Linked DNA regions of Canis lupus familiaris. Each later gene encodes a partner of the first gene's protein in a complex. Links are inferred from orthologs where the notes say so. Each region holds a gene or a part of one and is shown in the gene's direction. Other genes may lie near its edges.

Region 1 (4,031 bases):
CCCCGCCCCGCCCCCGAGGCACCTGCGCGTCGGGGACCCCCCTCGGCTCCCGGGCTCCGGCGGGAGGCAAGTTTCTTCCCCGGCGCGGCCACCTGTGCGAGGCGCTCCCCGCGGAGGGCGGCCTGAGCCACCCGCCCGCGCGGCCCCGCAGCTCCCAGGCCCGGCCCGGCCCGTACCCCGCGGCCTCCAGGCCCCGGAGGGGGGAGGGGAGGGGGAGAGGAGGGGGGAGGGGGAGGGGCGGCCCTCCCGCGCGCCCCCCGCACCTCCCCACCCAGAAGTGGCGCGCCCGCCCGCTCCGCCCCGCCGCTCCGCTCGCCAGGCGCCCCCCGCGCGCCCCCCGCGCCCCCGCTCACCCCGGCTCCGTCCCGGCCCCGGCCCCGGCCCCGACACGCCGGCTCGCGCTCCCCGCCCCCTCCGTGACCCCCGCGCCCCCCCCTCGGCCCCGGGCCCGACCCAACCCCCCCGTGCCCCTCCGTGCCCCCTCCGCGCCCCCCCTCCCCGGTGCCCCCCCAGCCCGGTCCCGGTCGCGACCCACGCCCCCCAGGCTCCTCGCCCCCCTGCGCCCTCGCCCCTCCCTGTGCCCCTCCGTGCCCCCCGCCCCCCTGCGCCCACCCGCGCCCCCGCCCCCCGCGCTCCCCGCCCCCCGCGCCCTCAGCCCTCCCCGTGCCCCTCCGTGGCCCCCGCCCCCTGGTGCCGCCCCCCGCCCAGTCCTGACCCCTCCGTGCCCCCCGCCCCCCTGCGCCCACCCGCGCCCTCGCCCCCACGTCGCCCCCAGCCCCGGGTGCCTCCCCGCCGGGTCCCGACCCCGACCCGCCCCCCCGCGCTCCCCGCCCCCCTGCGCCCTCGCCCCTCCCCGTGCCCCTCCGTGGCCCCCGCCCCCTGGTGCCCCCCCCCGCCCAGTCCCGGCCCCGACCCGCCCCCCCGCGCTCCCCGCCCCCCTGCGCCCTCGCCCCTCCCCGCGCCCCCCGGTGCCCCCCGCGCCCCCGCCCGCCCCCGCCCGGCCCCGGCCCCGGCCCCGACCCGCCGGCTCGCGCGCCCCGCGCCCCGCGCCTCCCGCGGCCGCGACAAGTGGGCTCCGCACGGAAAGTCGGCGCCGGAGCGGCGGACTGGGCATGCTCAGAAGCCGGGGCTGGCTCCGGGCTCGAGTGGGAAGCGTCGGCACTCGGGAGGCGGGAGGCGGGAGGCGGGAGGCGGGAGGCGGGAGGCGGCGGCGACTTTGGGGAAAGTTGCCCGGAGAGGGGAGGCGGCCCCGGCGCGCGGCGGCGGCGGCGGCGGCGGCGGCGGAGCATGGGCACCCTGCGGGATCTGCAGTACGCGCTCCAGGAGAAGATCGAGGAGCTGAGGCAGCGCGATGCCCTCATCGACGAGCTGGAGCTGGAGTTGGACCAGAAGGACGAACTGATCCAGAAGCTGCAGAACGAGCTGGACAAGTACCGCTCGGTGATCCGGCCGGCCACCCAGCAGGCGCAGAAGCAGAGCGCCGGCGCCCTGCACGGAGAGCCGCGCACCAAGCGCCAGGCGATCTCCGCCGAGCCCACCGCCTTCGACCTGCAGGACCTCAGCCACGTGACCCTGCCCTTCTACCCCAAGAGCCCACAGTAAGCGGGGGGCGGGGGCGGGGGCGGGGGCGCGCGGGGCCGGGGCGCGGGGCCCGGCGCCGCGCGAGCTGCTGCGCCCTGGGGGCGCCCCCCGCGCGCCGCGCCTCCCGCAGCCGCGCTCGCCGCCCCTGCGCTGCCTCGCGGTCTTTGTCGGATGCCGGGCCGCGGGCTGCTTTCGTTTTTTCCTCTTCTCTTTTCACAGCCCTGCACGGTCGGTCGTAGGCGCCCGCGCGGCCGAACCCGGCCCGCACGCGCCCCAGGTGTGTGTCCGGCCGCGCGCGCGCGCCGCTGAGTGTGAGCGTGAGTGTGAGCGTGCGAGCCAGCGAGTGTGAAACGGGGACTAAAAAGCCCGGCTCCCCCGTGCCCTGGCGAGCCTGCCCGGCCGGAAAATCCCAAATGCAGGCTCATCAGACTGGAAATGCAATGCGTCTGATGCCACCCCTACTTTCCGTGCCTCTCCGTGTGGCTCTCCCGGATTTCTCCCTTTTCACGCCCGGACCCCCCCCCCCCCACCACCCTCCAAACCCCGGGGTGCTGGCATCCTCCAAGTGTCAGAAATAAGCAAATACGCATGTCGAGGGGGTGATTTTTTATTATTTTATTTTATTTTATTTCATTTTATTTTATTTCTGAATTGGATGGCATTTACAGCCCGCAAATGGAAGCCCAGTCTGTTGATTCTTTTTCTTTTCTTTCTTTTTTTTTTTTTTCTAAATACTGTTTTCATACCATCCGAGGGAGAATGGGGCTTGTTTTCCTTAAGGCATTTGCATGATGTTGCCCCTGAGTGTCAGGTGCTTGGGGCTGCTACCCGGAGGGTTGCGGGTTTCCGGGTGGGCAGGAGAAGTACACTTACCTTTAGGGACAGCGTGAACACATCGTCTGCCTCACTCCGGGCTTCTGATGCAACCACTCTGCTGTCGTCCCTGTCCCTGCGTTTAGGGAACTGTGCTCCACGCCGGGGGGCTTCGGGACTCGGGTAGGAAAATGCAACCCCAACTTGTTAGTTAGACGCCTCTCGATGCAGAGACCTTATGGAGAGTAAAGTGGCAGAAACATAGGATTGATACAGGGGGAGGGACAGCGCCCTAAGGAAGGGTATTTCTAACAAATAGATAAGGAGACAAATGATAAAATGAAAGATTTTGCTACTCCCTTCCTAATAGCATCACCCTGGCTGGATGACACGTGTTACATAATAACGCCAGCTCCCTTGGAACCCTTCGTAAACACAAGAAATTAATGTAAGGAGAAAGGATCAGTACGTGATCACCTCCATTTCTGGCTGCCGGATTTGGGGGGCGGCTAGCGAGCACGTGCGAATTAGACTTTTGAGAACTTAAAGAGTTAGGCTTCCCTCCGTAGGTTCCCGTAGAGCTTTTGCTGTTCCTCACGCAGGTTTAGGTTAAGAAGGAGTTGGTGTCCTCCCCAGAGTGCAGGGCAGAAACAGGGAGGATGAACGTTTCGGGGACTCTGACCTCAGCAAGTGGCCCTGCCGGGTAGACGCGGATCTGCCTCAGAAACCTGAAGGATTCGCATCTCCTCCCAACTTTCTCCAGTAAATTAATTTGCAGTCCCGACACGCTTGCCTGTTTTAGCTAACGAGGTACATGGCCGTCTCTCCTGGGCCAAGTTTTGCATAATGAAAAAAATAACTCCAGCTTCTCTGCCTTTTTAAGCATTGCCTAGGATCTCATTTTTGGTACCTGCAGGACTTTGGGGTAACCCGGAGAAAACTGCACTTTTACAAAAAGACCGTTGTAGTAGGTTTTATAATGAAGCATGATCAAGCCAGCCGATAACTCCAGTTACACGTTGCATCAGAGGAGATCTGAAGGATTCTAGGCAGTGGGGAATGAGCTCGAGAAACGTGGTGAAGTTGTAGACGTCTCTCGGTGCTTCACACGTAGGACTGCTAGGTTTTTTTTGTTGTTGTTTTGTTTTTTTGTTTTTTTTTTCCTGCAAGCCCACGGTGGAAAATGGTGGGAAATGAAATTAGCGTGGCAAATAATCCACACCATTCTGTTACAATAAACATTTTATCATGGAACAATGCTGTGCCTTCTGATATTTATTCAATAGCTTGTGCTTTAAAGAAATCAGCTGTTTGAGGTATCACCATGGTGGTTTTGGTGATTCTGAAGGATTATAGTGAAGAAAAGGATAGACTGTCTTCCAAGCTTAAATAATTTTGGAAAAACATCTGTTCTTTTTTCACACTTACATAAAGAAAACTAGAATAAAACTGGCTTAAGTGGTAGAGTGTACCTTTCTTGAGAGAGAAGTTACATTGTATGCAAAATGCTTATACCTTATGCCATTTGATGATGGTGCAAGATAGCTCCGCAAAGAATTAGGAAAACCGGCCAAACCGAACACGACTTGCTCCAGATTTCCATTTATTTCACTATGAATAAGCTGATTATACAGACT
Region 2 (4,255 bases), on another chromosome or scaffold:
AAGAGGCCCGGGCCGCCTCCGGAGCTTCAAAAACGTGTGAGGAGGGAAGAGGTTGCAGACGGAGCCTAGCTGCTGCCTTGTCCTCGGCACTACTGCCACCCGTGCCCACCACCAGCCAGCATGTCCTCTGCTCACTTCAACCGGGGCCCCGCCTATGGGTTGTCCGCTGAGGTCAAGAACAAGGTAAGGCTCCCGTCTGTGGGCTGTCAGCTGAGGTCAAGAACAATATAGGGCCTCTGCCTGGCCCACACACCCTGGCAGGCCAGAGGCCCTGCTCTTGGGGTTCCCTGGACCCCCTCTTGCCTATCCCGTGTGACTTGGAATCAGAGAGGGAAAAAGGACAAATCTAGGGTCGGGACTGCCTTATTCCCCATCCTGAGCATCCCAGAGCCCTCAGCTACTGTTGGGGGACAGGTAAAATGGAGGGCACACAGGCAACCACGGGTAAACTGAGGTGATCTGTCCCCTGTAAAGACCCCCACTTGATCAGAGTCTCCTGTTAACCCGTCCCCTGTTCCTTTTGTGTTCCTGGGGGGCTGGGAAAGGACTCGATTTTCCTCACACACACCCCCATCTCAAAAAGAAACCGGGGAGTGCTTGAGAGTTGGGGTTCTGGGGAAGTGAGGCCCACATGGCGAAGGAGATCCTGAAGGGAGAGGGAGACAGCCGGGAGGTCAGAGACTGAGCATTAGGGACCTGGCAGGGGTCTCCTAATTTTGAGCTGGGAAAACATCCGGGTACCGCCCTTGTGCTATGGATGGCTAAACTGAGGTTCAGAGAGGAGAGGCGAGTAGCTAGGGTTCGACATAAGGGAGTTGCAGAGCTAGGATCCTGGCATCGCCCTCCGCTGCCACCCGGCCACCAAGGCACACACATCCCGGAGTCGGGTTCAGCTTCTCGGGGGCAGTGAACTTCAACTCACTGGAATGCTCCGTGAGCGCTGCCAGGACAGGAGTCCCAGCCCCATTTGACAGAGGGGAACATCGAGGGCCGGGGGTGGCTTTCCCCAGCGTACAGCGAGGAAGCGGGGGAGCTGGCATTGGATCCTGGGTCGGGGGATCCTCGCGGCTGGAGGAGGGGGCTGGGGGGGCGGGTGCTCGGGCCCGGGCGGGATCCCGGCGCCGCCCCCCTCCCCCCGGCGCCGGCCCCAGAGCCGCGCGAAGCCGCCGCGCCATATAAGGCGGCCTCGGGGAGCCCGGCCCGCGGGGCCGCGCTATATAAGGGCCGGTTTGCTTTATAAAGCCGGGCTGGTGGGGAGGGGGGCGGCAGGGCCGGGGCCAGGTGAGGGGCCGCCCCCTCCTACCTCCTCCTCCTCCCCCAGGGGAAGGGGCAGCTCCGTCCCCTCCACCCGCAGTCTCGGAACCTGTCTGGGCTGGGGCGGAGGGTTCTGGAGAAAGGGAGGTGGGGGGGGGGGCGGGGGGCAGGATGGAGAAGGGGGAAGAGAGCGAGAGACGCCGAGCTTCTGGGAGCCTGAGACTTGAGAGGGACGGATGGGGAGGCTGAGCCAGGAGCCAGATAAGACCGAGACAGGGGATGGAGAGGCCGAGAGAGAGGAGACAGAGGAGCCCCGAGCCCCACCCCCCAGCCAGACACAGGGAGATGGGGACAGGAAGGCAAGGCCGAGGAAGGACAGCTGGAGCTGGGGAGACAGAGACAGAGGGTGCGGGGATGGGGGGGCGGGGAGAGAGAGAGAGAAATACCACCGAGCATGCATGGGGCCAGGAGTAAGACAAAGACAAGTGTGTCCTGTCCTCTGTCCTGTCCCCTCCCCCTCCTCCCCGGAGCCTCCAGCCAGAGCCACAGCCCAGAGGATCAGGACCTGGAGAGACACTGAGGCAGACAGACCTGCAAGACAGAACAGTCCCCTGCAAGGCAGTACTCAGAGCCACGTCCTTAGGGCTCCTCCTCCCCTGCCTGAGGCGCCCAGGCTTCCAGCAGGGGGGTGGGGGGGCAGGACCAGGGGAAGCTAAGCCCCAAGTTTGGCCTGGAGGGGGAACCAAGAGGCCAGGCACCACCCCTCCCAGCTCTAAGTACCCCGCTCTCCACCCCCCTTGTCTGCATTCTCTGGTGCCAAACCTCAGAATGTCCGGAATGGCCCCCTGGGCAGGTGCCACCTCAGTCCTGGCCCATTGCCCACTTCAGCCCCCCCATGGACGCTGGAGCAGAATTGCCTTAGTTGGGAAGGGATGAGAAGACCAGGCCTAGGGAACCTCAGATTGGGTCCCTGGAGCCAACTCTGCTCCCCACTCCATCCTTACCACCTTCTCTGTGTCCCCCATCCCCAGCTGGCCCAGAAGTATGACCACCAGCGAGAGCAGGAGCTTCGAGAGTGGATCGAGGGGGTGACTGGGCGCCGCATTGGGAACAACTTCATGGATGGTCTCAAAGATGGCATCATTCTTTGCGAGTGAGTGGGGCAGACTTTGCCTTGGGGTGCCCCCAACCTGGGCATTCATCTTTACCCCCTCAACCCTTCAAATGACTATGAGCTCAGAGCTGGGTTAGGCACTTGATATCTGAGACCTTGAAATAGCATTGGCACAGCAACATTGTGCCCATTTAACAGGAAAGAAAACTGAGGCCCAGTTAAGTAAAACATATCGCCCAGAGGCCCATGCTGTTCTGACAGAAATGACCAGAATCTAGGCTTGATCACCATGCAGACAGGGCAGGCCCATTTATGGCCTCCAGAGTTCCAAGAAAGAGAGGTCACAGCTAAAAGGCAACAAGGCAACATTGGCTGTTCATTGCTGGCTTGGTGACATGAGAGTTATGCCACAGTAACTTAAGTAGGCCTGGTTTTCTACTCTTCTCAGAACTTAAATCACCAGGAGGAATGAAAATCCACACAGCTCTGAGCCCTGGTTCCAGAGTCCACAGCGACACTAATACTGGATCCAGGACCCTGAGCCCAGTAGGGTCCTGTCTGCATCTCTGAGTCTGACCCAGGACAGGGTGACCGTGATGGCCAGAGAGTGCCTTTTGGGAAGCTTCCCGAAGGTGCAGCCTTACCAAGATCTAGGTGCTGGAAAGGGCAGAGTGGGGGGATCTTATTCTAGCATACCCACTGGGAATAAGGAATAGGGAGACATTGTGATGTTTCTAGCTCAGACAGGATTACCCACCCACTCAGTTATTCATTTGTGCACCAAGAATTTATGGAGCACCTGCTGTGTGCAGGTCTAGGCACTGGGGATAGTGAACAGAACAGATTTAACTCTGAGCTCACATAGAGCTTGGGTCCTCATGGGGGAGATTGATCAATCCATGAAAAAACCCCATACTTGCCTGTGGAGGGAAGTGCCATGGGAAGAGTCAAGGGGGAAAGGATGGAGGGCTGGGGTGGGGAAAAGGTTTGCTGCTTCGTAGAGAATGGTCTAGGAGGTCTTTCAGAAGAGATAACATTTGAGCAGAATCTTGGATGAAGTGAGTGAGGGAGCTGGGAGGGCATCTGAGGAAGGAGTGAGCCAGGCAGGGAGTAGGGTATAGGGAGAGCAGCAGTGCAAAGGCCCTGAGGTGGCAGCAAGCCTAGTGTGTTCAAGGAACAGCGAGGAGAGATTAGGGGAAGTGGAGGGAGTTAGCTGGGGGCCAGAAGTTGTAGGGCCTTTCAGTCATGTTAAAGGTTTTAGGATCTTTATTCTGAAGGGAAACCGGGGGCGGGGGGCACTTTTGATCTGGGGAGTAGCTGGAGTTATTTGGAAAAGGCCATTGTAGCTATGAGGGTCTGCAGGGGTCGAGGCGGAACCTGGGAGCCACAGGGGGCCCCTGCAAGAGCACAGGATTGAGGTTCAGACAACTCAGAGCAGCATGGAGGTGGCAAGGAGCCAGGGGCTTCTGGATGTCCTCAGAAGGCAGAGCCAAAGAACCCGCTGAGGGGTTGGGTGTCAAGGAATGGGAGAACCGAATAGGAGAGTCAAGAGCAAGTCTGAGGGTGAGCAGGATGTGTTTACTGAGCCTGGGAGGATGGAAAGAATTGAGGTGGCGAAAGTGGGTGTCAGGAGTCTGGGGTGGGGTGCCTTTGAGATGCCAGGTAGGGAGCTGGATTGGATGGAGAGTGAGAGGCCTGGCTGCGGGGAAATGCTGGGGAGTTGTTGGCATATGGGTGGCATTTTAAAGTCAAGAGACTGGAGGAGCTCGAGGGGGTGAGTGAGGCCAGGGAGGGAAGTTGGGGCCCTGAGCTGCGGGCTCTCCACAGTGCAGTTGCCCCTAAGGGACAAGGAGACTGAGATGCAGTTGCCAGGGAGAGACTCCCGCA

The links.
Region 2: PRKG1 (region 1) and CNN1 share a complex: the UniProt entries of both Homo sapiens proteins name them as parts of the cGMP kinase signaling complex. The link is inferred for Canis lupus familiaris from reciprocal best matches to the Homo sapiens genes PRKG1 and CNN1.

The regions. Positions count from the first base shown.
Region 1 is NC_049247.1:37,109,446-37,113,476, reverse strand, and holds the start of PRKG1 (cGMP-dependent protein kinase 1), read left to right. Parts: upstream 1-1,231; 5' UTR 1,232-1,287; coding exon 1,288-1,598; intron 1,599-4,031. UniProt on the Homo sapiens protein: Serine/threonine protein kinase that acts as a key mediator of the nitric oxide (NO)/cGMP signaling pathway. GMP binding activates PRKG1, which phosphorylates serines and threonines on many cellular proteins.
Region 2 is NC_049241.1:50,230,944-50,235,198, reverse strand, and holds the start of CNN1 (calponin-1), read left to right. Parts: upstream 1-1,455; 5' UTR 1,456-1,490; coding exon 1,491-1,613; intron 1,614-2,285; coding exon 2,286-2,407; intron 2,408-4,255. UniProt on the Homo sapiens protein: Thin filament-associated protein that is implicated in the regulation and modulation of smooth muscle contraction. It is capable of binding to actin, calmodulin and tropomyosin. The interaction of calponin with actin inhibits the actomyosin Mg-ATPase activity.